Linked DNA regions of Nothobranchius furzeri. The main gene of each other region encodes a partner of the protein of the gene in region 2 in a complex. Links are inferred from orthologs where the notes say so. Each region holds a gene or a part of one and is shown on either strand. Other genes may lie near its edges.

Evidence for each region.
Region 1: rbm8a (region 2) and casc3 share a complex: the UniProt entries of both Homo sapiens proteins name them as parts of the mRNA splicing-dependent exon junction complex. The link is inferred for Nothobranchius furzeri from reciprocal best matches to the Homo sapiens genes RBM8A and CASC3.
Region 3: rbm8a (region 2) and alyref share a complex: the UniProt entries of both Homo sapiens proteins name them as parts of the ALYREF/THOC4-EJC-RNA complex. The link is inferred for Nothobranchius furzeri from reciprocal best matches to the Homo sapiens genes RBM8A and ALYREF.
Region 4: rbm8a (region 2) and upf3b share a complex: the UniProt entries of both Homo sapiens proteins name them as parts of the mRNA splicing-dependent exon junction complex. The link is inferred for Nothobranchius furzeri from reciprocal best matches to the Homo sapiens genes RBM8A and UPF3B.
Region 5: rbm8a (region 2) and eif4a3 share a complex: the UniProt entries of both Homo sapiens proteins name them as parts of the ALYREF/THOC4-EJC-RNA complex. The link is inferred for Nothobranchius furzeri from reciprocal best matches to the Homo sapiens genes RBM8A and EIF4A3.

Annotation. Positions count from the first base shown.
Region 1 is NC_091746.1:33,208,743-33,214,924, reverse strand, and holds the start of casc3 (protein CASC3), read left to right. Parts: upstream 1-2,643; 5' UTR 2,644-2,686; coding exon 2,687-2,869; intron 2,870-4,215; coding exon 4,216-4,240; intron 4,241-4,327; coding exon 4,328-4,383; intron 4,384-4,560; coding exon 4,561-4,770; intron 4,771-6,182. Other genes in the region: serine/threonine-protein kinase WNK4, read left to right, coding at 138-140. UniProt on the Homo sapiens protein: Required for pre-mRNA splicing as component of the spliceosome. Core component of the splicing-dependent multiprotein exon junction complex (EJC) deposited at splice junctions on mRNAs.
Region 2 is NC_091745.1:61,863,369-61,869,572, forward strand, and holds the start of rbm8a (RNA-binding protein 8A), read right to left. Parts: upstream 4,083-6,204; 5' UTR 3,991-4,082; coding exon 3,924-3,990; intron 3,286-3,923; coding exon 3,226-3,285; intron 1-3,225.
Region 3 is NC_091752.1:50,606,593-50,612,684, forward strand, and holds alyref (THO complex subunit 4), read left to right. Parts: upstream 1-2,301; 5' UTR 2,302-2,428; coding exon 2,429-2,668; intron 2,669-2,932; exon of another isoform or gene 2,933-3,165; coding exon of another isoform or gene 3,166-3,372; intron 3,373-4,628; coding exon 4,629-4,787; intron 4,788-4,872; coding exon 4,873-5,020; intron 5,021-5,136; coding exon 5,137-5,200; intron 5,201-5,272; coding exon 5,273-5,462; intron 5,463-5,546; coding exon 5,547-5,561; 3' UTR 5,562-5,746; downstream 5,747-6,092. Other genes in the region: mcrip1 (mapk-regulated corepressor-interacting protein 1), read left to right, coding at 1-65. UniProt on the Homo sapiens protein: Functions as an mRNA export adapter; component of the transcription/export (TREX) complex which is thought to couple mRNA transcription, processing and nuclear export, and specifically associates with spliced mRNA and not with unspliced pre-mRNA.
Region 4 is NC_091741.1:85,713,075-85,719,313, reverse strand, and holds upf3b (regulator of nonsense transcripts 3B), read right to left. Parts: upstream 4,221-6,239; 5' UTR 4,095-4,220; coding exon 3,984-4,094; intron 3,761-3,983; coding exon 3,654-3,760; intron 3,578-3,653; coding exon 3,471-3,577; intron 3,384-3,470; coding exon 3,285-3,383; intron 3,139-3,284; coding exon 3,028-3,138; intron 2,679-3,027; coding exon 2,635-2,678; intron 2,541-2,634; coding exon 2,352-2,540; intron 2,279-2,351; coding exon 2,127-2,278; intron 2,041-2,126; coding exon 1,734-2,040; intron 1,643-1,733; coding exon 1,499-1,642; 3' UTR 1,067-1,498; downstream 1-1,066. UniProt on the Homo sapiens protein: Involved in nonsense-mediated decay (NMD) of mRNAs containing premature stop codons by associating with the nuclear exon junction complex (EJC) and serving as link between the EJC core and NMD machinery.
Region 5 is NC_091746.1:29,287,640-29,292,804, reverse strand, and holds the end of eif4a3 (eukaryotic initiation factor 4A-III), read left to right. Parts: intron 1-2,928; coding exon 2,929-3,056; intron 3,057-3,129; coding exon 3,130-3,146; 3' UTR 3,147-3,260; downstream 3,261-5,165. Other genes in the region: heme-binding protein soul4, read right to left, coding at 4,019-4,193, 4,274-4,454, 4,550-4,691, 4,914-4,999, 5,071-5,165. UniProt on the Homo sapiens protein: ATP-dependent RNA helicase. Involved in pre-mRNA splicing as component of the spliceosome. Core component of the splicing-dependent multiprotein exon junction complex (EJC) deposited at splice junctions on mRNAs.

The DNA.
Region 1 (6,182 bases), on a different chromosome or scaffold from region 2:
TGGTTTTTGTTTTCAATTTTTCACGATTCTTCCACTTAGACCTTGTTTTCTTTCTTTCATTTTTTTTATACTCAAGGTGTTTAGTCACGCTGCTTTTACATTCATTAACAGTTTGACCTTTGACCTCTGTGTTGCAGTGAGGTGCTAAATTTTGACCTTCTGCACATGATGCCTGAAGAAGAGTACATTTCCTGTTTGAGACTGAAATCTATTTTGATGCCTCTTCTCCCTGAGAAAAAGATCGTCTCTGATGAGCGTCAGGTGAAACACCTTGAGGAGGAAACGGTCGTAGGACTTACAGACTCTGTAACATGTGAATAAACTAATTCTTACATTCAGCATCTTGAAGAGAATTTCTCAGTAAATTTCAGAGGGATGATTTATGTTATGAATGCTGACTGAGAGATGCCACTTTAATGATGATGAACTCATAAAGTTTTACTTTTTAAACCTGTTTGATGATGAGATGTATTCATTACAAGTTTTGTCAGAACCAAACTGTTGAAGTTCTGTTTATTTATTCTGCTGGAGTCAGATAAAGCCAACCAACTGATTGGTTATTTAGCAATGTTTAATTTAGTGATGTTTGATTTCTGTTTTGAGAGATGAGAGTCTGTGCAAAACAATAAAATAAATCATGTTTAGTTTTAAAAGTCTGAATCTGAAATGAGTCAACCACAATGAGATCAATTGACGATGAAATGGGTCAAGGTCAGCTGGATTTTCTGGGGTCTGACTCTTCTTTGACCCGTGAAACATATGGTAAATGGCCTGCTCTTGCATAGCACCTATCTAAGCCAGAGGACGCCAAAGCACACGCATACACATTCACACAGATTGAGATAAATAGCCACAGCTATTCTGGGGTTCGCTGAAAGAATTGAGGTTACGACCTGATAGGTGCCTACGGTCCCTCAGACTATCCAGGAGGCAAGGTAGGTGAAGCATATTGCCCAAATGGCCTGTTTTTGTATAATGCCTCGGTTCAACAACCCTCCAAGGCGCTTCACAACATAATCAGTCATGCCCCAATTCACACACTCATTCACACACACATTTACACACACATTTACATGCTGGTGGGGATGAGCTACAATGTAGCCACAGCTGCCTTGGAGCATTATCCCTTGTACTGCTTCGTTTTCACACGGAACAAGACCTCCCACACACATGCGCGTGCACCTGGCGCGCACACACACAGTCTGATGCGCAAAATACGGAATGCAGAAAATTAGCAAGGTGACAGATTGATACAGAATGTCATGCGTAAGTGACAATGTAAGTGTCCTGTCACTGTGACCCGATTGATCATGCGCCCTGGCTACTTGTACAAGGAAGATCTCTGTTTGGCTGACTGGTTAGCACGCATGACTTTCATCCGGGAGTCTGGGGATTGAATCCTGATCGGATCATTTTTTTAATATCCGCCACAGATCTCTCTGAAGAACTCAGCATTGACGGCTTCAGCAACGCTGTGCCACTGAGTGAATTTTCTCTTGTTTTACAAAAGCACTTCCTTTCATTTCTCCACCTCACCCACAGGTACCTGAATTTCTGCTTGTGAAAGAGCGCTTCCTTGATCTGCAGTCGTGATCGAAATGCTGCAACAGCTGGCTTATGTATATGCATAAGATTCACAAGGCACTTTGCATTGACTATTTATGGCAGTAAGTGGGCGTGGTGAGGGCGGGATGTGACTAAAATGCAGCTGAGAAACATTCTCATTATTCTCCAATTTATGAAGCGGAGATTGCGTGTAGCTGTGCGTACTCCATGTTTGATAGATCATAAACCTACTTGGCGTAAGTACATTTTTTTTTTGCTGAGCTTACGGTTTTAGTAAGGATTCTACGCAACGTTTGATAAATGAGACCCCTGGCCTTTTCTTCACCCTCTCTCTGTGCATAATTAAACAGAGGAAGAGTCTGGCAGGCCAGGCCAAGGGGCTTCTACCAGAAGTGAGCAAATCCTCATTGACTCCCATGTTAAAAATGCCATTTTCACAGCAGAAAAAAAAAACATGTTTACAGCCTGGTTAAAAAAATCACTTTAGGTTTAATAGATCTAGTTTACATTCATGACAACTCTGAGGGGGTGATTTTTTGTCACTCTTCTGTTTAAAGTGTAATTTAATGCTTAAAATTCTGAATAATTAATGAGCATCAGAGCCACGTGACTTCAGAGCACATGTTAATTGACAGTTCTGCATTCCTGACATTGCATAAAAGAGCCCCTTCTAGCCTGTAGTTTTATACATATTTTTAGCATACTTACCATAAAGACGACCCCCCCCCCCCCCCCCCCCCCACACACACACACACACACACACGCCACTATTTCAGTTTTTCAACTTACTTCCGATCTTTGGACGTTCTCTAGTTGGCATCTTCTTAGAAAATGAGGGCAACAATTTGATTCCCAGCAGTTTTTTGTAGGTTACATTGTTGATTTAACGTGCAGGTGTTCCAGATTATTCATACTTTTTTGTAACGGCTAATATGTGTAAAAATTGCTTTAGTTTATTCACGTACACGTTCAAATTAAAATAGTTATTACATCGTTGTTGTACTAATCATTTCCAGAGGGCGGCAGTAGACATCAAAGAGCTGGGAGAATTTGCTCTCCAAAAGAACACCATTACCCATAATGCGTTGCTTTTTCCGTTACTAACCATTCCAGTCCTAAGATGGCGGACCGGCGGCGAAGGAGGAGGCGCGCGTCTCAGGACAGCGAGGACGACGAGTCCGGTTCTGGTTCGGACAGCGGAAGGTCGGGTTCTCCCGTGACAAAGGCTCGAGGTCGAGATCCCGAACCAGTGGAGGTGACAGAGAGCCGGACCGAGGCGAAGAGCGACGTGGAGTCCGAGTGTGTGAGTAGCTACTCAGGCTAACTCCAGCAGCTAACGTTGGTCCGTCCATCACAAAGCTTGGAATTCGGGCTAAAAGTTCTGACTTATTCCGCTTCCAGAAAAACCTTAAGGCTCTCTAGAGGTACCATTAGGTTCGACGTGACTGTGGGTGATTAACTAGTTCATCAGTAAGGAGATGGGTTTTGTCGTTCATTCGTAGTTCGATGATCTGAGACGAAAAGGTGGCAGTTGAACCACATTTACTCGGGAACAAAATGTGACATAACACCGGCTCAGTCCCAACAGTCTCTCAGAACCGTTACTGGAGAATAGAGGATGGTTACCTGAGGTCCAAGTGGATTCTTCTGCCGAACCAAGAGCTAAAAGTCACCCTGATATTCGCCTGAGTCTGCGGCTCCACGCTGGACTTCAGACCCGTGGTGGTTCCATTACATCTAAAGACCCTGTTAGTTCTGATTAATCACAGATTAGCCCCAGTTGCACTAAGGGGCGTTACGACATAGATAAAATCTCGTAATCACAAATCAGAATACTCTGATTCAGAAGATGCGCGAGGCTGGATTCCCATGACTGAGTAGCTTCACCCAGGCAGTCATTGACCCTCACCCATCAGGGGACTGAGGGCTTGACATGTCTCAAGGCCTCAGTGTCCACTACATTTTATGTCATTGGGGTACCACCCTTTAGCTACAGGCCTTACTTGTTCATCTGCATTACACTTGGTTACATTAAGATAAAATGTGTCAAATGAATTATTTAGGGGTTGATTTCTAAATAATTGTTCGTGAGGACATTATCACTTCAAAATGTATTGGGGATAAACATGTTTTGATACCCAGGTCTCAACTAAAGAAGATTTTTACCATCAAGTAAAACGTGCTAACGAGAACACTTCTCGCTCTTTGTTAAATGAACTAGTGTCCTGATTAAAAAATATTTTCCATTATTGTCATCTGTGTTTGTATTTGAGCCAACAGTAATAAGGAGCCAAAGTCTCCTACTTGTTCGTTTGGTCCATGGGTCCCTGGAACAAATAAAAAAAGAATGCAAGTGAACGGGGCTTTAAAAGCTATGTTCTAATCTGCTTTGCAGTAAGCCCTGAATAACTTGTATGTTGTACTTGGAGTTAATTAAAAATGATTTGAGTTTCTTTCAACTGTCAGGTAATTTAAGATTTATTAGCTTGTTAAAATTCATAATTAAAATGATTACAAGTCAGACATCACATATGTCACTGTAAAATTATGAGGAACCTAGCATCCCCTTCACCAGGAAAGAGTCTATCCTGACACCTAAAGGCAGCCAGATTCTTCACGTTGTCATTTTGATCCTGTTTGTCATTGCAGGAGAGTGAAGATGGAGCCGGAGAAGGTAAGAGCCTCTCCTGGTTATCCAGCTCCACGTTAGATTTGTTGTTGGTGATTCCTGATTTTATGACTCTGGCTCTGTTTTGTTCAGCTGTCCTCTCAGATTATGACAGTGCTGATCCGGAGGAAAACCGCTCCCATTCAGAGGTAAATCCAGCCTAACACAACTCCCAGTTTCCTTCCCTCAGACAAGAACTGAGTCTGTTTTTGACTGTAGGATTGAAAAGACGTTCAGATTGGTCAAAGATCTGGCACAACAACCTAAGGATGCCAATTCAAAGACCAAACTGAAGAAGAGATGTTTCTGAAAAATTCTTTTTCCAGGGGGTAGAGGAGGAAGAGGAGGGTTACAGTGAAGAGGAAGCTCCAGCAGCAACCAGTGAGCCCAAACCTTCAGTTGCTGTCGACCCAAAACCGGAGGAGGTGGAAGAGGAAGAGAAGGCTGAGGAGGAAGCAGAAGGACACAGTAAGGAGGAGCCCAAGGGGGAGGACAAGGAAAACCTCACAGGAGAGAGGCAGAGTGGTGATGGACAGGTGAGACTCAGGAAATCCAGATGGATCTGGTCAGCAGGTTCTGATGCATAAACAGCTTTTTAGCTCTTTGTTGTCTTTTTGTCCATGTTCATTTGGCTCAGCTGCTCTGTTCCAGAGCTAGTCTGAGCTTCATTTGACATAATGGGAAGTTTTAAGAGGTGGTTATCATTTGGTTAAATTCTGATAAATTTCTGCACAATAAATAAAAAAATGGACCTATGTAAATTTTGTGTAATTATACATATTTCTGATATTTGTACAGCTTTGAGCAGCTGATATTAACTCATTCGCTGCCAGCTGTTTCCTGACCGATAAAGCCCTTCCCTGCCAGCGGTTTTTTTTTTGTGTGCCATTTTTACTGTTTTTTTAAGAGTCACAGAGCATTGCGCACTAGGATGATGATACCTCTTACAGCAGGAAGAATCCGTGCGTTTCGAGCTTTATCTGTTCTTTCATAATCCGTTATTGAATTGTGATCTGCAGAAGCTTTTCTGGTTCGCGCCACACTTTTTTTATTTTTTATTTATTTATTTATTTGTTTTACAGCAGTGGCCCAAAAGGACCTCCTAACACATGGATTTTCTGCTTCCTGGTCACTTGATGTGTGCCGTATGCAGATGAAGATTGGCTTTAGAGCTGAGATGTTTGTTCTCGCGGTGTGGGGACTCGTTCCTATGCCCACACAGTAAAAAAATGCAAATGGCAGTGAATGAGTTAAACTTGGCCAATTCCATCTTTTCTCTAAAGAACTGGAATCTACAGAATTATAGATGGCCCGATACAGGAATCTGTCTGATACTGTGTCCATCTAGCAGGACTCAGAAAATCCACTTTAGACGGCATTACGCTAAGTGTTACCAGGAGACAACGGCTAACTAAAAAAATGAATACAGTCAAAGTGGTTTTATTAGTGCTCCTCCGTGAGAGCAGGGGTGGGGTGGTTGCACATGTTCCGCTGCTGTTTCTCACCAGTATCAGCTGATGGAGGGCTCTAGTTTCATTGCGCCATTCGTGTCAGTGGACACAGTCAGGGAGGGGGGTGGAGCATGATGCTTAGTCTGGCGGCCCGCCAAGCAAAGCGCTGGGGGAAACCCTGGTGTAAAATTGTACTATAACAAGCTCAGTGAAACGGCAAAGTCACAAACAGTGATCTGCGTTATAGTGAGGAACCACTGCATGTATATTCTCTCATTAGGTGTAAGTTTCTTACCGGGCTGGCTCTTCTGCTGCATCAACTCCGAAATGTTTTGGTCTCAGATGTTCATTTAGAGAAATTGTATTTCCGTGCCATGCTAGATCGTTTTTGCATATCTTGCAGGTCACCCGTCTTTTCACGGCATCTAGAGTAAAGTGTTCCCATACTTTAGATGTTTTTGTTCTGGTTTTTTCTTCACTTTTATGGTTTCTGTTTT
Region 2 (6,204 bases):
CAAGGAGGCAAGACGACTCTCCCTTGCCCTGCCTCCAACATGCCTCCATCTAAAAAGGCTAGGTTATCCAGAGTTATCTGCTATAGGCTTAGACTGCTGGAGGACACACTGACCACTTTCCACACTCTATTACTTTCTTGTACAATCTGTTCTTTAACTGTATTATTTCCTGCAATTTCAACTGTTAACTTTATTTTTTCTCTAAGTATTTTTCTCCCCAGAAGAAGCTACAATGATGTTCTGCTGAGCTGTGGTGGCCTCATGGAGGGGGCCATCGTCTTGAACACTGTTGCTAACCACTTAATCATTATCTCTCCTGATAACACTTTACTTCCCTTGACATTGAATGTGCTACTACTAGTTTATCCGTGTAATTATAGATTCACTAGGATAAATACAATAAAGCTTATCTCTCACCAAATAGAGTATTTACTAAGAAATCACAATGCAGCCATAGAAACACTACTTGGTGTGTGTGTGTGTGTGCCTGCTCTGTCTTCTCGATCCCCAGTGAGTCATGGCGGATGGCTGCTTATACTGAGCCAGGATCCTCTGGAGGTTTCTTCCTGTTAAAAGGGAGTTTTCCTCTTCACTGTCACTGCATGCTTGCTTAGTATGAGGATTGCTGTAAAGTCACTGACACTAGTCAGTGACTCGATCCAATTTGCTTGGTTCCTTATATAGGAAACTGTTTTCTGACTGGCTTAATGAACTGACCTGTATTGGAATGTTTATTATGTGAAGTGCCTTGAGACGACTCTTGTCGTGATTTGGCGCTATATAAAAAAAACTTGAATTGAATTGCTGCTGTACACAGACACACACACACACACACACACACACACACACGCACGCACGCACACACACACCTCTGCTGACAAGACTAAATAATTATTAGGTTGTAGATCTTCTCCACAACAGATGTTTATATGTTTCCATTTATTTTTATATTACAGATGTTTGCACTGTATAGCCCTTGTCAGTCTTTGCAGTAGTTTTTACATCAAATTAGGTCTGTATTGGGTAGGACTACACAATTTTGGTTATAAACTATAAGTAGGTGTGTTGGCTCTTTTACCTGAGGGATCGGGGATTGTGTGTGTGTGTGATTATCTTGTTTCTGTCTTTTTTCATTTATTTCTCTTTTCCTGATTGCGCCCTGTGCAATTTTATGACTGAATAAATAACAACTAAAATCTATGTTAATGATAGTCATGAATAATCTATTTCATTTTCAGTCAAAATAATCATGATAATTATTTTTGCCATAATTGTGCAGCCCTCAACTACACACCAGTTTTTATTTTTATTAATAGCCAAAGTTAAGTTACACTGAAAATAATTAAACTACCTTTTTTAGACAATCAGCTGAATTGTGAAAACTGTTATTCTGTGGTCTGTGAGAGATGATGTGCTCACAAACATAAAAAATAAACCACAAAAACATGAGATCCCTTTGCTGTTGGTGGAAATCTCACATGTTCAACTAATAGGAATGGTTCAGTAGCGTTTTGTTGCTGAGGGACAGAAGGATGTGGGTGACAGTGGGGTGTCACAGGGCAGAGCTGAGGAATGAACAGTGAGACAGAATTCATGGGAAAACTTTAGATATTGGAGCGATCTCAGTTTGTTACTTCTCTGTAGTTTAGTGGGTTTTTTATGTATAAGGAGGGTGAGAGGGACGTATGTCCAGCAGACAGATCAGCTGTTTAGCTGGAAGATTAAAGGAGACCCAGAGCTGGAGTGTGAGGACAAAGCGATGATTTCAAAAATGAGCCTTCCTCTTTGAGGAAGATTAGATGGGCCATGAGCTGACTAAAAACAAGTCTTAATGGTGGTGCTATTTAGAACTGCAGCTATCGAATATTTTTGTAACAGAGTACTCTATCGAATCTTTTATTGATTAATCGAGTACTCTAATTAATTACTCTTTTGCGTTTTTAAAGCATTACATCAAATAGCATGTTATAAAATATGAAAGACCTCTTGAAATGAGAAAGCAATTGCCAGTTATTCTTCAAGTTTTATTCAAAATTAGTTTTCAAAACTTCAGCACTTCAACTTTACTTCACAGTAAACAAATGCGAGCGGCTGCGACCCAAACAGCACCAGAACCGCTCACGGTGCATGCGCAAACATGTCTCGCCAGCTTTTTCCCTATTAACACACGTTCGTTTTAATTTCTACACTTTTTTTTGTCTCACACTAACAAGGATTGTCGAAAGCATGTTTGCCGTGGTTATGTCAAATTATACTGATCAGAAAACATTTATTTACTTTCTTTCGTTTTCCTCCGCCACTCATAAATACCTGTCCTCCTGCAGCAATCCTGAGGGACAACGGACATCAATAACAACACAGTAAAAAGTCCAAGGTGTTGTAAAAACTGCTATTTTTAGCACATTTTAAGTCCGACGTGTTGCTACCAGACGTACGGTGTGAGCTGAAACTGAGTGCTACAAATGAAAAAGTCCCACAGTGTCCGCAGAATATATAGAAATACAGGCTAAAATGCATTATCTTGTAGAGGCTCCGAGTCCGCTTGCAGAAGTGACATTTACATGTGGATGTTTCCTGGTCAGGTGCTGCAGCATGGAGGATGTGGTGTTGTGGTAGGCTAAATCCATTTTACAGTATTTACACTGGAGTACGTTTTCCGCCTTACGACGTGAAAATGGTCCCACACTTTTGACATTTTGTGTCTTTTTCACACTCCACCGGGGTCCACATTGTCCGCCATGGCTTAAAAGAAAGTTAAGTTGCGTTCGCTACTCGCGTGTGCATTCAGTGCAGTGTGTATGTGCGTCACTTATTTCGGTCCGGGTGAAACATGACCACGGGCGATTGCAAAGCCATGAATTAATTAAACATGAATTAAACGAAGCTTCGAGGCAGAGAATTTGACTCGAGGATTTTTTGTACTCGAATTATTCGAGGTACTCGAGGAATCGTTTCAGCCCTACTGCTATTTATTTATTTTTACTCTTTTCAGCTTTGTTTTGATTAGCTGTCTGTTTACTGAGTATGCCTTCAGGGGATGCGCTCAAGACGTAGTGTGTCCTGCTGGTGCATGACGTTTAGCAGTCTGGCTCACCGAAACCTTTCACAGTACAGTGTGTCATCCCACTGGAGTTCTCTCAGTGTGACATGAGCAATCCTGTGTGATGACCGAAAAACGCTGTGTGATCCCGGCTAAAAGGACATGGCTGAAAACTGTTAGCTCACCTAAACCAAAGCCTCGTCCTTTTCTCTTCTTGGCCTTCTCTTTCAGCTTGTGGATGCTGTCTGCAGACAGAAACATAAAATTAAAGCCTGAAGATGATGCTGTGCGATGAAGGCAAATTCAATGATGATGATACAAACTCAATGTAGTTTCAATTTTAAGACATTTTAAGAAATAACTTCACAACTCTTTAATATGCCGTTTGTGCATTTGTTTTTAACATCGTCTTTATTCAGTCGTGTAAAATATGTTACTTATTGATTAAAAAACACGTTCCTAATTAACATTGAAGCTTAATAATGGGAGAAAACAAATCGAGTTTCAAAAAGTCTGAACTTTTTATGGTTCAAGCTACTTACTATAGGAACCTTAAGTGTGTGTTTGTTATCCGTTAGCTGCTAGCCAACTCCGTTCGTTGGTTTACTCTCTACATTAGCAGCAAAACACCCACACATGAACATTTAAACACTAAAACCGAACTTAGACGTGGTTTCCATATACTTTGAACCAACTAGCCACGCTGCTAACTCGCGCAGAGCGAATGAATCAACAGCTAGCTTACTTTATCTCGTTAGCTTGGGCCTGCTAACACGTAGCAAGGCGGTTGTTAATCTGGTGGTAACAGAAACATCAACGCGACATTATTTATACACCTGGATTAAGCAGCGCCTACTGCTTAACGCATAAGTAATAATATTACCATCACCATCCTCATCCATAGGAAAGTCTTCGCCTCCCGCCTCATGAAGGTCCAGTACGTCCGCCATGATTCCTCTGAGTGTGAGAAGATCTTCCTGGCTGCGGCTTGAAGCATGGGGCGGAACGTGGGCACAGGGCACATCCACACCATGAAACTTCCGTACCTGAAGGGGGCGCTATTTCCTATTGTTAGTGTGACTGTAGAAAAAGGTTTTCATCAATAAACAAACAACTTAGTAGATGTGGCTCGTGTATAAAACCATCCACACCTACAACCGCGCCCTAGCGTGTCGGGGACGCGCGCTGGAGCGCTTTAAATTGTCATGTTTCTGGTGTTAAAAAATGAACATAACTGAAAGATCTTTTAAAACAAACGGGATAGTAAAAACAATGCTGTTTTTCCAGATAAGCTGGACAAAATACATTACTGGTGATGAAGTCCAAAGATGAAATTACGGTAATACAAAAATACTAATGCATCAGCTGTAAAAGCATCCTAGATGATTTTATCTATTTTTAATGTAATCAACGGGACGTCGTTACGTGCATTAGCGCAACCTACTGATCTGTGGACCATCGAGACAAAAGGACAAATCATCGCGAATGAGTTCGCATTTGGAAAAAATAAATAAATGACACGCACTTTTATAGCGCCTTTTATTTTGATTTGCAAAAGAAAAAAAATAGACCAAAATAAGATAAAACAGACAAAAATCAGAATCATAAGGTTTTATTTCCATTTGTGCAAGAAACCACAACATTAGGAAATCGCTGCGGTACTTGGTGCAAAAAGAAAGATAAAAATAAGAAATTAGCAAATATAGGAAGTAAAAATATATCATGATAAAATAATTATTTAAGTGACAATAATTAGAGAAATGCTACTATACAAGGCAGTGTAGTTACTGATCAGTTCAGGTAGCAACAAATACAATACAGGGTCATGTGACTGGAACCAAGCAACTGGAGTGGGACCTAGGATTGTCATTCATGAGTCCAACAACAGAGGGTAAGAACTTGTTCTTGTGGCGAGAGGTTCTGGTCTGAATGGATCTGAACCTCCTGCCAGATGGGTGCGAGTTAAAAAGACTGTGTCCACTGTGACACAGGTCAGCTGTTTTCCAACAGCACGCCTCAATGTCCTGGAGGAGTACAGGTCCTGTATGAAGGGGAGTTTGCAGCCAATGACCTCCTCAGCATAGAGTGCAACATGCCACAGCTTCTTCTTGTCCCTGGTGGTGGCTCCTGTGTACCACACAGTGACAGAAGAGGTGAGGATGGACTTGATGACTGCGGTGTAGAACTACCTCACATCGACTGTGTTGGCAGGTTGAATTTCTTCAGCTGCATCAGGAAGTTTATCCTCTGCTGGGCCTTTTTTATGATGGAGGTGATGGTGGGCTCCCACTTGAGGTCTTGGGTGATGATGGAGCCCAGGAAGCGACATGAGTCCACCAACTTGGGGAGTGTCAGACAGGGTTATGGGGGGAAGTGGGGCTGTGTGCTTCCTAAAGTCCAAAACAACCTCCGCTGTCTTCTGGGTGTTTAGCATCAGGTTGTTGTGGCTGCACCAGGACACCAGCCTTGAAGCCGGGAAGTGTGGTATTTAATTATTTTGGGTTTATCACCCCAACATCACCCCAAGACATATATATATATTTATTTGTTTGTTCGTTAGTTTATTGTTTGTTTATGCGACTTGAAAGGCAGCGTGCACACCACAAATATTACATCAAAACAAACGGCTCAGCCGTGAAAAGTGTGGTTTATCAAGATTTTGGGGTGATCACCCCAATGTCACCCAATATTTATTTATTTATTTGTTTATTTATTTATTGTTGATATTTATATTTCCTTCAGTGTATTCTCTGACTGCAGCAGTAACATGTAAACTTCTGCAGTTTGTGTGTGTGTGTGTGTGTGTGTGTGTGTGTGTGTGTGTGTGTGTGTGTGTGTGTGTGTGTGTGTGTGTGTGTGTGTGTGTGTGTGTGTGAACAATATGAAGCCATTGCCCAATGATCAGTTAGCTAATATATTTATATTTTATAAATAAACGAGTTATTTTAATATGAATTTTATTTAATAAAGAAAACTCTTAAGATGAACCTCTGTTACAAGAGTGCAGATCAAAACATCACCTAGGTACAAGACACAAGAACATGGATGTCACTGTCTCACTGAAACTACTGAAACTATCAACAATACAAAGTCACTGTGTGAGACGAGTTTCTTCAGATTCAGGAGCAGCTTTTACTATCAGCATTGTGTGAGAGCATTAGTTG
Region 3 (6,092 bases), on a different chromosome or scaffold from region 2:
TCACACCAGTGGACCTGAGTGATCTCAAAAGGCGTGTTGCCTTTTTGGACTCCAAGAAATCCTAGTGCTTCCTGTGATGTTCTCATTGCTTTTTTCCATCCATTATCCTGAAGAACTTTTCATTTCTCAGCCCTCTGACAGCCAACGCTGTTGGCTCATGTAACAGAAACAAGTCTCATTTCTATACTATGGACCATAGAAACTCATGTCTTTTTTTTGTTTGGTTTTACCCTCGACGACCGACAAAGAAGAAAAGCAAACACACTTGAATTTCCAGGGGCACAAACCTTCCCCTCCCGCTCAGTTTTTCATGTTTTCCCTTACAAATTCTGAATATTTACCGCCCTAATGTGGATGGGTCCGATTCAAGTGTGCATCAAAATTCGCAGACATCTGATGCTGAGGCTCAAACTAAAGCCCGACGGGACACAAAAGTCTTAAATATAGTAGTACCTGCTGCTTAAATAACTTTTGGAGGCAATTGTAAAAGAGCTGACTTGTGTTTTGGGTTCAGAAAGTAGATCGATAAATCGATAAACGCTAGAAGTAACTGAACATCGGACACGCTTTATGGGAAGCTTTTGAAAGCCAAAATACTAAATAGAAGGCCAACATTTTTATTAAACAATTTGTTGCCCGTTGTGGACTTTATTATCTAGAATGCAAGGATGCAGTCCTTGGTTGACCCTTCTCCTCTAAGCCTTTACACAAAATATTGAATAAAAGACTTTTACAGTACGTTTGCTTCTGTGGATTCAGATTCATGATTTTTGTTGTTTTGGGGTTTTTTGGGGTGGAGGGGTCAGACTTCAGCTAACATGTTTTATTGATACTGAGTAAATTCTAAAGGCATTTTATTTTTTATTTATTTCAATTATTAGAGGGGGCTATCCAAAATACGTGGAGAAGGTTCTGTCCTCTCCCTTTTAAATCACACTAACTGATAAACTATGTTATTTGGAAAGCTAGGTTGAATGTTTCTAGCCGGACCTGTAAAAGTAAGACATGTCTGACAATGTCAAGTAGGCTCAATGATCTCAAAAGCAAATGGTTGATTGCAGTTATTACAAATAGGCATGCAGTGCCAGGTTTTGGCTGCTTTTTCCCTTGAAAGATCAAATAATTGTTTATCTGAAGTGTTTTGCAAAATTTTCATATTTTAAAATTTTCTTGAGCCAGTGTGTGCTAAAACAACCCTGTACAGGGTTAATGAAATGTCACTCAGACCCCGACCACCCTCTATGGCCAGAATGTCGCACTTGCAACTTCAGAGTTGGACTTGTGGAGCTGACATGCCTGGTGCTGCAGTCTGCTTCCTGCATGTTTTAGATCATAAACACTGCTGGTTTGGTCAATTTAGTGATGAGCTGCTCCTGTAGAAATTAAGGAAGGATGGGGAGACATTATTATGGATTAAGGTGTTTAAAAAGGTGAATGCACAGTTTCACTTTTGGTTTTACTAACAGAACACTAGGGGCTGCTAAAAGCAACCCAAAACTGGTTAGTTGTGCAAAAAAAAAAAAAAAAAAAAGCAAAAGTTTAGAAATCTAAGGGGTCAGTAGCCATCACCAGTTCTGTGTAACTGCTTAAAGAGCAAGTCACCCCCTACCAGAGTATTACTCCGCTCCCACTTCCTGTTTGAAAAATGCAACAAATTCTGTTGCCTAGCAGACCAAGAGGGCGGGCCCGCTAACAAATACACACACACACAACGACATTGTGACATCATATGCTACCAGCTAACGTTCTAGGGTACCCCTTTGCCAATAACGATGGCAGATTTAAATTCAAATGCAGTGCAGAGTTTTTACCTGACAACGGCACAACACTCACAGTTTTAGGCAGAAAATTTAAATTTTAACTTAAATGCACAAAAGTGCAAAACTACACGTGTCTGCAGCACGGTTAGATACGCATTTATATAGTTTATCAGAAAAAAGTTGATCTGGGAGTGTCTTGCTCTTTAAACACTTAACTATATTATTTTAAAATCCTTGACTTTGTGAAAGTTTCTTTTAAGAATTGATGATTGATGTGGTTTAGTTTTTCCCGGTTATTTCTTCAGTTTACAGTTTTAGTTTCGATCAAATGTTATATGTCATATTTGTCAAAAAAATATTTATTTATTTGTTCTGTATTTTACCACATCTGTGTAGAACTTTTGCACAATTCGCACATTTTCCTGTCAAGGTTTCTTTTAGATACATGCTCCGCCCGGTTCCGCCTCATCGTCGACAGTAGAGGGGATCACGTTCACGTACTCACGTCAGGCTTACGTAGAGAACGTCGTGTTCTACTACTTGTGTTTAGCAGCTGCTACAAGAATCAGACACCGTTGAGCCTTGAAAGGGACAGGGAGAGGGACCGACCGTGTCTAGGGTGTAACATTCTTAATTTGTTCAAAGTTTAGCGTTATTGGGGCAGCAAAATGACCGATAAGATGGATATGTCTTTAGACGACATTATCAAACAGAGCAGGCAGCAGAGAGGTGGAGGCCGGGGAGGAAGAGGCCGTGGCCGCGGAGGCACAGGCAGCGGCCGGGGTGGAGGCGCTGGGCGACTCGGAGGCGGCGGCGGAGGCTTTGGAGGCCGAGGCGGTGGATCCGGCCCCATGAGGAATCGACAGAACCTGAGTCGCGCTAGAGGCAGACCTACGCCTTACAGCAGGGTATGAGAATGTTAGAGGAATAAGCAGAGAAATGTTTTCATATTGTGTCCCTTCTCCCGCAACCCAAATGTGTAACGCACGTCGAGCTTCAACAGCCTACGGAAGGAGTGGAGGCCCTCAGCGCCATTTTGAATCCAGCCCCGCATTGTGAAGCTAGTCGTCAGTGAGTGCTCAGTGAGAGGTATCCTGGCCACGGTGGTGAAAGAAACCCACTTCGTCAAGAGTATCACTCGAAAGTGTGTTTTCACTGCTTGTCGGAGCGGGATATGTGCTCAAGTTCCCGCCAGCGCAGCGACCAGGCGGCCTTTTGTTCGGGGAGTGGGTTCTCAAGCCCTCTGGTGGCTTTTTCTACCAGTTTGCCTGTTACTTGTGGATGGAAAAGCGGACTTTTACTCCTCTGTTAGTGCCCAAACAAAACCGGTTCTTCGTCTTTTAAAGTGTGATCGAGTTGGTAGCGAAGCCAAACAAAGCCCCAGTCAAAATGGCGTGGTTTCAAAATGGACGCTCACGCAGAGGGGAGATCTGGCCATTTTCACTCCTCATCCAGCACACGGACTCTTCCCCTACTGAGAACTGTTCTGAGGTCCAGGACACAAAGTACCAGCGCTGGAGACGCCGCTGCATCGAACAGGAGTCCCCGAGTGTCCCGAGGAGCTGGCTTTTCTGGAGGGAGGCGCAGATGGCGAGAACAATGGGCATCTCTGGTAGCTAGTCTGAGGAGTTTTACAGGTTTAGCATCAAGTCTGTGGGTTTGGGTTTAAGAAATATCTGTGATGGTAATACTTAGGTTTCTGGAAAGGCTCGTTAGTCTATTCTAGGGTTTATTTCACTAGAAACCCAGAACAGGACTGTTGAGTTTTGTTTTTATGGTTTTGTTTTTAATCCATTTACTACATCAAACTTGGATCTAAAGAATACATTTTTATTTTAAGTGGGCTTTAATGGGACCATTTTTCTTTAGACAGTTGATTAGAGTGATTGAAACAAGTGGCTCCCAGATCTTTTAACTTCTGATTTACAAGATCTGTGATTAAAAACCTTCATTATTCATGACGGACACGTACAAATAGCCAATAAGACAATTACATTAGGACAGGAAGATGACTCCATCCACTTTCACCAAGACTAAACGCTTGTCAGTTGGTCTGTTTAGATGTTTTCTCTTCATATATGTCAATTATTTTTAAATTTGATAATCTCAACATTGGTGTCCTGTCCTAACTTTGGGAACCAGTGAGTTTGAACTAGGGATGCACCGATACGATACTGGTATCGGCACCGATACCAATACCAGTATCGGTGAAAGTTAACCAATACCAGGAACCGATACCAATGCAGTTGCTTGAAAATGGCTTCACTGTAACTTGTCATTTCTGTTCACCTAATATTTTAGTTTTGTGATGATTTCCATTCATATATTTTACTTTTTATCTACCTCACAGTCTTTTCCTGTTGAAAGCAGAGAAGAAAGTAAAATCTGCATTCCAAATCATTGCATTTTTTTTTTTTTTGTGTGGTAGAAGTATCTGTATTGGTATCGGCGAGTACTAAGATCGGTTTGGAAAAAAGTGGTATCGTTGCATCCCTAGTTTGAGCATGTTTTTACTAACTTAAATCAGTATGGACTTTATTGTGATGTTTGTACACATTCCGATTTAAGATGGCCCAACATTGGTGTGTTAACGTTTAAAAAAGTTCAAAATTTGAATCGAAGCGAGACTACTACAAATCCCCTTGCTTTTGAGTATTTGTGTGCACGTCCCTTTGAGCTGATGCACTTGCTCGTTGTGACGGGGTGGGCAGGGAATACTGGGGACCCCCCCCCCTCTAAAGGGAGCTGAGCACCATGTTGGAAGTGGAGCCCCCTGCTTGCCCCAACAGCCAGCCGTGTGGACTCAGTGATGGGCAGAGGCAAGGGGATCCTGAAGTCAGCAGGTGCGTTCTCTTTCATCTGTTGCAGCCTAAACAGCTCCCAGACAAGTGGCAGCACGACATGTTCGACAACGGCTTCAGTGGCTTCAATGGTGCTGCTGGGGGTGGCGGGGGAGCTGGTGTGGAAACTGGAGGGAAGCTCCTCGTCTCCAATCTCGACTTCGGTGTTTCCGATGCAGACATTCAGGTACTCCAAAATCCGCGCTTCACTGGTTGGTTGTGTTTTATGGCTTGTTGCTGTCTTAGACTAATCTTGGATGTACTTTTTCAAGGAACTTTTTGCGGAATTCGGAACTCTGAAGAAAGCTGCAGTTCATTACGACCGGTCGGGAAGAAGCTTAGGAACAGCAGATGTCCACTTTGAAAGGAGAGCTGACGCTCTAAAGGCCATGAAACAGTACAACGGCATCCCACTGGATGGTACGCTTCAGACCTTGTTTACATTTTTCTGGTTTGACATGACTAAATAATTCAAACTTTCTTGAGTGTTCAACCCCCTTTGAGCTGATTTATAGTGGATCACTTCCTCTCCTCAGGGCGACCTATGAACATACAACTTGTCACGTCACAGATTGACACACAGAGACGGCCGATGCAGGGGTAAGTTAAATGTTTATCTGATTAAAGCATTAAAGATTGGGTTGTGGTGTTAAATTATTTTTACTGTCTCAGGCTGGGCAGAGGGGGTGGCCGTACGAACGTGGTTGTGCGAGGGTTTGGGGGCATGCAGAGAGGTCGTGGGGGCCGTGGTGCTGGCGGTTTTCGAGGAAGAGGGCGAGGCGGCCGTGGAGCTGGTGGTGGAGCAAAGCAGCAGCTGTCAGCAGAGGAACTCGATGCCCAGTTAGATGCCTACAATGCCAGGGTGCGTTGATCTGACAACACAGGCTCTCTTGTTGGTTAATGTCACTAAATGGCAGTCTAATTGACTTTTTCTTTGTTTTCCTAGATGGACACCAGCTAAGAGACAAAGTGCTTCCTACTCCTCACCCCTTCCTTTCTGTGCAGAGCAGCGTGGTTGTTACACACGTGCAGAATATTTTACACTTGGTCGTCTTCTGGTGTGATTTGATGTTGTTCAGACCTTATTTTAAGTACTCCAAAGTGTTTTTTACCTGTTTTTTTTTTTTTTTTTTTTTTTTTTTTTCTCGATGAAAATGGTTTTTGACTGTAGGTTGAACTGGGTTTTGCCAGTTTCCCTCTGCCCTGTAGTAAATGAAACTTGTAATAAAAGCCTGCAGTGGGTATCGACCGATACTTGTATTTCTCAAATGTTTGTGTTTTTGTTTTGTCTGGTTTATCAAGGGCATTCTCATTACTGCCAAAAAATTGTTATTTTATTTTTAATTGTCTTGGTATAACATCTATTGGAATTAAACTTTTTGAAATGTCTGTGCAAGTGATGTTATGATAGTTGTTGGTCCAGTGGATCTAGTGAGCATTTTGTTTTACGACCTTGAAAATCCACTAGATGTCGCCATTTGTCCAACTCCTT
Region 4 (6,239 bases), on a different chromosome or scaffold from region 2:
AGACCTCTCCATGCACCGTGTTCTGCTCCAGCTTCTTCTTGAAAAAAAAAACCTTCCCCCATCTGATCTGACCCATCTAAGCTCCTTTTGGACTCGTCTCTGCTCCTCTTTATCTTCAGCCATCGTTCAGCATGTATTTCAGCTCAGGGGTCGACCAGGGTTTATTGTTCCAGAAACACCTCATTCTTCGTGTTCGGACGGTGTTCTCTACGCAGTGTGTCAGGCTGTCAAGGCCATCGCCATGAGCGCTGCAAAGTGTCTCCCAGTCTGTGGTGTAGAGTCCTTCAGCCTTTCTGTTGCTCCCTCAGTCCACACTCTCACGATTGTTCACTGAGGAGGTGCCCTAATTGCCCTGGGTATGTATTCAGGGATCAGATGAATGAGGTTGTGATCTGAGCAGCCGAACGGAAGGTGGAAGTGTGTGTGTTTTGTCACATTAGCGTGCAGGAGATCAATTGTCTTACTGTCTCTGGTGTGGCACTTCAAATATTTGGTAAAGGTGGGGAGAGTGGAGGAAACCGAGGTGTGATTAAAATTCCCACTGATGAGAATGAGTGCCTCTGGGTGAGCCGTCTGGAGCTTCTCCACAAAACGTTGTAACTGCTCGCATGCAGCAACTGCATCGGCCGAGGAGTGGGCGGGTGTACACATCACTGTAGAAATAGTCAGGTATTTTTGATTTATAGGGTGCTGGAGTGTGCCCTCGTTTTCTGAAAGCTGTTCTACAATTGAAGGAGTTTATTATAATGAAGTTTTTATTAAAATAATAACTACAAGCAGCTTTGCATGAAAACGAAGCTTGCTATCTCCGGGAACACAACGTCAAATATACGACGCAAAAAAGTAGAAAAATCAACTTTTGCAAAGACTTTTTAGTCAGAAATGTAGCCTCTTTATCAGTATCACCTTTAATGACATATTAGTAATAAAAAAGGGATAAGGCCACATGTTTATCACTGATTGTTTATATACATGCGGTCACGTGGCAGTCTACTTAGAAATGGCTAATTCTCCTCCAGGTTTCCATAGTAACAAGCATACCACAGAATCCCAGACCAGATCAGTTTATGATGCATAGGTACTTTATCTCAAACTATTAAATATCTCACAAGAAAAATCCAGAAATCACCTTGAAGAAACCACGTGTTGACATAGTGAACATTATAAATTTATTTTAGAGTGATTTAGATAACGAGCGTGAAGGCACCTTTTTTGCAGAGTGTAAAACACTTTTCCTCCAAAGCGATAATGCTGAATTAAGTTCACTTTGACATCACATGGTCCCCAAAACTTTGGCTTCCTTGAATGTGCCCTACAGCCAAACTCCTTCAGAAGGTGAATCGTTTCTTCTCCTAACACAGACCAAAGAGGATCACACCTCTGCCTCCGAAACTGGGAGCCCTGCTTAATCAGTGGAGCGCGTGGCTCCGAGACGCCATACTGCTGCTCGCAGGCCTGTCTCTTCACCTAACTCAAATGAACAAAAGCAGAGGTCTGCTCAGTCGTCTACTTTCTCAGCCACGTTCTTGCTCTCAGTATCTGGTTTTCTGTCGGCAGAGTTGGATTCTCTTCTGTCTGCTCCTGGTGTGGCACGGTGGCGGCTCCGGGCCCCTGGCTGGTAAAGCTGAATGGCGGGTCGGTCCTGTTGCAAATAATATAAATAAAATATTACAAAAGGAAAACAAACTCAGAAATTATTTGGCACAAGTGTGAGAAATAACTGGAGTCCGTACCTTATTCCGCAGTCGCTCCCTTTTGCTGCTCTCATCCTTTTTGTTCTCTTTGGCAGCCTTCTCCGTTTTCTCACCGCGAGGGGAATCTGCCATGTTTTCATTCCTCTTCTTCTCCAACGCCTTTTCTTTTTTAATCTCCTCTTCCCGCTTCCTGAACGTGTTCTCTCCATCATGCTGCTCCCTCCTCCTCCGTCTTTCCTCGTCCTGCCGTCTGAAGCGCTCCTTTTCCCTCTGCCGCCGCTCCTCCCGCTCTCTGTCTCGATCAAAGTCCCGCTCCCTGAATTCCTTTCTCCCACTTTCATCTCTTCTAAAAGGAAATCACAGCTGGAGTTAAATCAGTTAAATGTACAAACAAAAGTGCAAAATGCCAGGAAAAAAAGAACAAGAACTGACTTTCTTTCACGATCCTCCTTGTTCTCGATGTTATGTCTCCTCTTCAGATCACTGAATGACCGGACCTCTTTATGTGGCTTCTCTGGTTTCTTGGACTTCTCTTTAGGCTTTTCAGACTCTGCTTCATCATTTCTATCTGGTTTCTTCAGGAGCTGAATATAAAGACACAATCATCATGAGAAACTTGAAATTGACAGATGCATTTTTTTTTTTCACTGCACGAACCTTAATTTTTGGTTCTTCCTTAACGTGGTCCTTGTCTTTCTCCGGCAGTTTCTCAAGTCTTTTCATCTTCTCAGCCTCTTTCCGTTTTCTCCTCTCCTCCTCCCTCCACTTGCGACGCTCTTCGTCACGCAGGCGCTTGCGTTCAAGCTCCCTCCTTCGTCTCTCCTCTCTCTTTTCCTCCCTGATTCTCTGAAAGTTAAAATAGAAAGTTTGATGGATTCTTGCTAACATGCAGTTGAACCAATTTATCCTAAACACCAAAAAACGATTACCACATGCTTACCTGTTTATTCTTCAGGTAGTCCAACAAGGGCGTGGTCTTTTTAGCTAAAAGAAAGGGGAAGAAACCCACAATAAGAAATCTTGTCAAATGCAATGCTCCTGTTTACATACAAGCAGTTATAACAGTCCCATTTTTGGTTCTTTTTTAAACACAGATAAGGTTTTTCTTTACCTTGCTGACGTTTCGTTTACGGCTGCAAACATCTTCAGAGCTGACGCTGATGGTGGCGTCACTTCCTACACATCCACATCAGCGGCAGCTCTGAAGATGTTTGCAGCCGTAAACGAAACGTCAGCAAGGTAAAGAAAAACCTTATCTGTGTTTAAAAAAAGAACCAAAAATGGAATTTGAAGACAAACACAGCAAGTGATAACGGTGCTGTCATAAACAAACCTTCAAGTTCTTTTGATCTGGCCTCGATCTCCTCCAACAAGGTCTCAGGCGTAGATGTCAGCTTCTCTTCGTCTCCGTTGTAATATTCAAGAAATTTTTTATAATCAGGATCTGATAAAAACACAAACATGCTGAGCTATAGATTTTTATAGATAGATCTCAAAATAGATATGTTAGGGACGAACATGGAGTTTCTTCAAGCTTATTTCTTTTTATAACAGAGAAGATCAAAACCACCAGACAGTTTAAACCCTTGCCTTCAGTAATTGTTCCACACTTCGAGTCCTTCTTCTTACTTCTTTTCTTGGCTATCTTTTGAAACGGCGCAAACTCCACAATGGCTGGATACTCCTGTCCTGTTGAATGGCCAAACATAAACAAGGACAGTCTCAGGTCAACGCTCTGGAACACTTCACAGAAAACTGGGTGTGTGTTCTTGATACCTCTGTTGTCTATGAACACATATCCATCGAATCGATCTCTGAAGAGAACAATATCATCTTCATTTTTGAAACTGATGTAAGCCCTCGCGAAGAGATGGGGATACAGGCTAAAATGACCGGAAGTGCCATGTTAGACCAACACAATGAAGGAAATGCTAACAGTCATTTTACAGGTGAACTCACCTGGTGTCGTTTGAGAAAAACTCCATGTAGTCCACCTCTGGGAGAGGCTGCAGCTGCTCCTCTAACTCCTCTTTAGACAGACTTGGTGGTAATCGTCTGATTACAATCTACGAACACATTGTAAAAAGTTCACTACCTTAATTACTAAGCAGGGCTTTGTAAAATGAAATTTTGGTCCAGTCTTTAAATGTATAATTTCAATCGTAGAACATTTTATCTGAAAACAAAAACAAAACAAAAAAGTTAAACCATGCTTTTATTTAATAGAACTACACGAATCCAAAACTGACGTCTGTAGCAACATTAGCTGCTTTAGCTAGCAAGTTTTACCTTTGTCATGGCCTCTTTCTTTTCTTTTGACTTCTCAGTCTTTTCTCCATCTTCACACTTTAGCTCCACTTTTTTCTCCTTCGGTCGAGTGTTTTCTTTGTCTTCTTTCATAGCTGAACGTCTACAGAGATCCACAGCCTGCTCTCATCTCACTCAACAGACTTGTTTACTTTTCAGAGAGTTAGCCAGCTAGCAGCTAGATACTAACCGCTCGAAACTTCCTTTCTGACTACTGAAGCTGCATTTACAAGTTTTTACCAGGAGGTGGCGCTAAATACAAAGCAATTACACATTTAAAAAAAAATGTTTTTGGTAATTACTATTTTCGGTAATTACTGGTAATTATATTTTTGTTAATGTCCATTCTAAAATATTTTTCTATAGTAAATTTTTTTGTAGAGCTAGGGTTAAGTCTGATGTAAAGTTAAGATTGAGATATGTCTACTGTCCACTTAGTGACACTAGACATCTTTTTATTGGAAACATTGCATTGTTTCCCTATTTGTGTTTCAAATTTTCCTTGTTCGTTACTTTTATGTATTTGATTAATGTATTTTGTGATACGTTTATCCCACGACCCTGCATGGACTAACAGGTATAGAGAGTGGATGGATGATACTTTTATTTTATTTATCTTTTAATAGTATTACCAAATTGTATCTTTATCTGTTTATAAAGTTACTCTATCTATCTATCTATCTATCTATCTATCTATCTATCTATCTATCTATCTATCTATCTATCTATCTATCTATCTATCTATCTATCTATCTATCTATCTATCCATCCATCCATCCATCCATCCATCCATCCATCCATCCATCCATCCATCCATCCATCCATCCATCCATCCATCCATCCATCCATCCATCCATCCATCCATCCATCCATCCATCCATCCATCCATCCATCCATCCATCATCTAGTAAAGTAAGTAAGTAAATTTATTTATATAGCACTCATCAAAGACAGAAAACCACAGTGCTTCACATAGATCAAAACAAAACAAATCATAAAGTCATAAAATCATAATGATCTTAAAAAAAGATTAAAACAGAAAAGTTAAGTCATTAAATGATAAAATACCATAAAACAGATGAAAGATGATTTCTAATTTTGAGTTAAAAATAAGAAAATAAAAGATTTAGGTAAAAGTAGCTTTAAATAAAAGGGTCTTTAGCTGTTTTTTTAAAAGTGTCTAAACTGTCAATGCTACATAAAGATAAAGGAAGATCATTCCAGAGTCGGGGTGCAACAGTCTGGAAGGAGCTATCCCCTCGACTTTTATATCTGGTCTTTGGAACATCTGGAACGTTCTGGTGAGTGGACCTGAGGGCTCGGATTGGAGCATAAGGCTTTAACAGTTCAGTAATATAGGGCGGAGCTTGACCATGTAGAGCATTGAAAGTTGTCGTCGTCGTCTTCCTCCGCTTATCCGGGTCCGGGTCGCGGGGGCAGCATCCCAACTAGGGAGCTCCAGGCCGTCCTCTCCCCGGCCTTGTCCACCAGCTCCTCCGGCAGGACCCCAAGGCGTTCCCGGACCAGATTGGAGATGTAACCTCTCCAACGTGTCCTGGGTCGACTCGGGGGCCTTCTACCGGCAGGACATGCCCGAAACACCTCCCCGGGGAGGCGTCCAGGAGGCATCCTGACCAGATGCCCAAACCACCTCAACTGGCTCCTTTCGATCCGGAGGAGCAGCGGTTCTACTCCGAGTCCCTCCCGAATGTCCGAGCTCCTCACCCTATCTCTAAGGCTGAGCCCGGCCACCCTACGGAGGAAACTCATTTCGGCCGCTTGTATCCGCAATCTCGTTCTTTCGGTCATTACCCAAAGCTCATGACCATAGGTGAGGATTGGGACGTAGATCGACCGGTAAATCGAGAGCCTGGCTTTCTGGCTCAGCTCCCTCTTCCCCACGACAGATCGGCTCAGCGTCCGCATCACTGCAGACGCCGAACCAATCCGCCTGTCGATCTCCCGATCCCTCCTACCCTCACTCGTGAACAAGACCCCGAGATACTTAAACTCCTCCACTTGAGGTAGGACCTCTCCCCCGACCCGGAGGTGGCAAGCCACCCTTTTCCGGTCGAGAACCATGGTCTCAGATTTGGAGGTGCTGATCCTCATCCCAGCCGCTTCACATTCGGCTGCGAATCTACCCAGCAAGAGCTGAAGGTCAGAGCTGGATGAAGCTAGGAGGACCACATCATCCGCAAAAAGCAGAGACGAGATTCTCCTGCCACCAAACTCGAC
Region 5 (5,165 bases), on a different chromosome or scaffold from region 2:
CCTCCGTTCTGTTCATATTCAAATGCAAATAACTGTAGGCCATCCATAACTTAACTTCCTCCTAAGAGTCTAGAGTGGAGAGACGGAGCCACCTGTCCCCAGACAGAGAGGTGGGTAGATCTGGAACCATCGCATTATGCTGACAGGGAGCCCCTCACTGGCAGCAAATAGACTGCAAAAAGAGGGGGCCCAGCATGGAGCCCTGTGGAACCCATCATCAGAGTCTCTCCCAGGCAGAGGTGGTCTTCCCTATCCAGACACCACTTAACGTCAAAGTAGGACTGCAGCCATTGAAGGGCCGGGTTAGGGTTAGTTGTTACCGGTCCAAAAATATGTTGGGACTGTGTCAAAAGCTGACGTTCTAGTAAAAGTACGACGACGGCATCGCACACATCTAGCTGAAAGACTGTAACGCAAAACCGTTAAAGGGGCGGTCTTGGTGCTGTGTCAGATGGAGCGAGTCTTGCGTGTTCCTTCTTCTCCTAAGATCCACAATCATCTTTGTTCTGTTAACATCTAAGATCAGATGCCTCACCCTTCCACAGATTCACCCACATCGTCTCTGTCCTCTGTCTCTTGTCCATGTCTGAGACACTCTGAATGACAGGACCAGGACATAGAATAGAATCGACCTAATTAATCCCACAGTGGGAGAATTCACTTGGAGAAAAGGAAGAAGAAGTAAATGATAGCAAAAGTACAGGTGAATACACGAAGGCAGTCCGCTGTTACTGTAACGTTCAGTCTCACACTCTGAGGTGCGTCAGTCAGGGTGTCAGTAATCCAGGTGTCCACCTGTGTCTTCTGACATGATAACTTAGCATGGATGGTTTTAAATGCCCTGGAGAAAACAAAGATTAGAAGCCTAGATGATCTACAGGCTTCACCCACGGTGACTCACTGAGCGTTGCTCACACTGGTGACGCCACCCACTAATGGTCCCAGCAGCAGCCCGGCTGCGTGGCGGAGGCTAATCCGGTTGTGTGTGTCAGCATTTGCATCGTGAATTTGAAGAGACAATTTGTAATGGGGTAAAAGTAGATATAGCGCCCCCCCAAGGGGCTTTACAACACAATCAGTCATTCACCCATTCACACCCTGGTGATGAGCTTCGTTGTAGCCACAGCTGCCCTGGGGCACAATGACAGAGGCGACTCTGACGTACACCGTCGCCACCGGTTCCTCTGATCACCACCAGCAGGCAAGGTGGGTCAGGTGTCTTGCCCAAGGACACAGCGACAGACTGAGGCCTAGTCCACACGTAGCCGGGTTGTTTTAAAAACGAATATCCGCCCCTCCAAAAACTTGCATCCACACCACCTCGTTTAAAAAACAGACCCTGTCCACACGTACCCGGATAAATACGTTGTTAAGGACATGCCAGACCTGTAGGCGGCAGTACTTCCCCCGTTCTTAACCTCGTCCTTCGTCTGTGGTCTTCCGCAAGGAGCAGTAATTCCTCTTGCAAAACAAACAAGCAGAAAGCGCTTGGACAATTGATGGATCGGGTAGTGACAGAGCGCAGCTCTGAAGGCATCCATGCTGTCGGCTAGTGTAAACACAGGTCGCACACGTGATGTCAGCATTTTTTTGTCGCAGAAAGTGACGTTGCGGACCTTAAAACTCCGGTTTTGTCTGTCCACACGCAGACACCCAAAACGGAGAAAACGCAGATCTTCACTTTGGCCGGAGTTTTAAAAAAGATCCGTTTTCGTGTGAAAAAACTCCGTTTTCGTGTGGACGACAGGCCAAAACGTAGATAAATATCTACGTTTTGGCAGATCCCTGGCTACGTGTGGACAGGGCCTGAGTGGGGCTTGAACCTGCAGCCTTCTGATTACGGGGCGAGCACTTGAGTCCTGTGACACCGTCACCCCATAAAAATGCATAAAATGATTGATAATATTGGTGTCTTTGTACCATATAACAGGGTATCCGCGGGTCCTTAAAAAGTCTTAAATTTGCTTTTCCAAATTTAAGGCCTTAAAAATCCTTAAAAATTACTAATAATCCTTAAATACAGTTTCCAAAGGTCTTAAATTACCAAAGACCCAATAAACAAGATTATTTTATTTCAATTTTCATGAATTTCTAGTTAGTGTTCAGCATTTTTTGTGTACGATGTTGGCGTAAGCGGAACCATACACATTCAGTTGGTTGTGAAAGGGGGCTTTTTTAGATGAGCACATTAGCTGTTTAAGCTAGTGGGAGATTGCACCATGGGGACGTGCAACTTTTATGGTAACTGGATGGCTAATCCCACGTTCGCAACGTGGTTCGCACCGGTTCCAGGCAATAGCTGGAAATTATAGCTTAAATTTAATTTTAAAAAATAGCTTAAATTTGGCTCTCTTAAACCTGCAGATACCCTGATATAACCATAGCAATTGGGTCTAAAGTACACAGGGCACAGGTCTAGCACCTTTGGGCGGTGCCATGTTTACTTCTGCTGGCTCCGGGTCCTGCGTCTGTCGATGACATCACACTAGATGATTGGCTGAACATAAGGCTTACGGAAAATCCGTTACCACGTTCAAAAACATGTAAGCAGTAAGAAACACAAACATAATAAAAAAACAAACGATGAATTATTTCTAAAATGTGTGAAAGAACAGAATCGAAAAAGAGATGCAATATTTTTGGGCCGAGAGGTATTGCCGTAGTAGTATGCCGTCGGCAGGAGCAGGACCCTGAACATGCAGAAGTAAAGCACCAGAAAACTTCTCAGCGTTCACTAGATGGAATTACCTGACGCACCATCAAGGTCTGAGGAGTCATGCCAAGCTTGCATGTTTTCTGCTCCACCGGCAGTTTATCGTAATGTGTTTTTAAACCAGCGAGTCACAACTACCCTGAAATGTATGTTTATACTGCCCCCTAGCGGCAGGAAACTACCCTGCCACTTTAAGTCATTCTGATCTCGCCCAGGATTGGTCGGTCGGGTCGTTATGGCAGAAAGGGTGTGGCCATCAACTTTGTGAAGAACGATGACATCAGGATCCTTCGAGACATCGAGCAGTACTACTCCACCCAGATTGATGAGATGCCGATGAATGGTATGAGTTACTGTTACCATAGCAACACTGGTGGCGGTCTGGTTGCTGCATTCATGTCTGTCTTTCTCTGCAGTTGCTGACCTGATCTAACTTCGATGACATCACCGTGGAGCCCGGCCTCCTGACCTTTTTATTTTAAATTGTTTGTGTTTTACCCGTTTCTGGTGACTTGACGGTATTTTGTAAATAAAGTCTTTAAAGTCAGTTTTTCCTTTCATGTTATTTCACCGTTTCCACGGAAACCGTTTAAATATGAAGTGGAGACGAGGAAGACCGTGTTCAGACAGGTTTCAGCTTTTTATTTTTCATTTGGAAGAAAAATGATCCTACGTGAAAATGAATGTAGAAAATCAGTTTGAAAACAGTTTATGATCACTGACGGAGGGAAGGACAGGCTCCGCCTCCCGTCGCCTGGGCATGCAGGGCACAACGACTGCTACAGAACACGTGACTGTACAGTTTCTTAAGAAGGTGTACTTCACCGTACTTAAGTTATTTCCAAAACTATGACGTCACACTAAGGTTGCTGATCCTGGAACAGTTGCAGGCAGCAGCCAATCAGAAGGGGCATCCTTCCTTCCTGTACAGTGAACCAATGGGAGGGTCAGAATCCAGGGTTTCCCCCAGAAAATGTTAAGCCTGGCGGATTAGCCGGGGGTGGGGGGGGGTCGTGCGCTCCGTCCTGTGGCGCTCCTCCGTGGGGGGGGGGGGGGGGGGGGGGGGGTCTGCACACGTTCCGCTGCTGTTTCTCACCAGAATCAGCTGATGGAGGGCTCTAGTTTCGTTGCGCCGTTCGTGTCAGCGGACACGGTAGGGTCGGGGAGGTGGGCGGGGCATGAGCCAGGCTTATAAAGCGCCGGGGGAAACCCTGGAATCTATTTACAGACACAAGCATGCTTCATCTGGTCGATCCAACAAGGGCACCCTATTAGGGAGGGGACGTGCTGTGTTGTGGGAGGAGCCTACAGGTCTCTCCTGATGAACCAGATCTCGTTGCGGCGCCGCGGTGCTCCTGGATGGTTGTATGACGCCACCATGTAGCGGTCATGATGTAAGTGGTCCCTGTGGTCCAGGAGGTCCCACAGCAGGCGGATCTGACGGTTCACCGTCTCCTCTGTGGTCATCCCGAAGAATGTCCTGCAGCAGGTAGCGTGAATAAGCTTGATCTAAAAAACCTGGAGAATAACAACCAGTCTAGTTTCAGACAAAGTCCTCACCTTGCAACCACCCTGAACGGCTCCCTGTAGACCACACGGACGTCCGGGTCGGAGGACTGAGGGGGATTGCTCTGAAACTCAGCTGGAAGGAAGAACGCCATCTCCACGTCTCTCTGAAACGTCTCGTCGTCCATCACCTGCACGCTGCTGACCACAGGTACAGTCATGTCCAGGTATCTGCCTGCCAATGACCAATAAGAAGTTCTGGAGTCATGATGCTATGATGTCACCTGGTGCTAATTCGGCCATGTTTGTTGGGAGCAGCTGCAGTCTCACCTGAAGAGTTTTCTTTGCAGATGAAGCGCATCAGCTTCATGAAAGCCATGGAGATGCTCTGCTCATACAGATTTTCTCCTCGGATCACACAAGCCCACGATCCGGCTGGGTAGAGCCGCTCCTCGTATTGAACCTCCCCCATCTGAACTCCGAGGACACACATTACAGAACTCAGCTGGATAAGCGCTAGCGCAGAGGCCTCGTTTATAAAGCTTGTTTACGCACAACCGTCTCAGAGTTGCATAAATCACTTTCTATGAAACGTAATTTAATAAGCAAAAAGTGTGCGTAGCTGGGCGTATGCAGTCTTTTATAGGGCTGAAAATTACTTTGCGTTAGTAAACGCTCTCGCTGAGGCTTTTACCTTCTCATGGCGGGAGATGAGGATGAAGGGGAGGGGCTCCCTGTGCTGGTTGTTCCGGGTCATTTCCTGGATAGGGCCGGTCATTTCTGGAACCACATGACGGCTGTAAGAATTAGCTTTTGTAGGTGGAGCATAACTGTCTGGCCCCGCCCATTACCTTCTGGAACTGACACCTGATGCGTGGTTGCCACTGTTTGCCAGTGATTAAGGAGGCGTCTTCCTTCCTCCTCATCCATTGGCTCAGGGTTATCG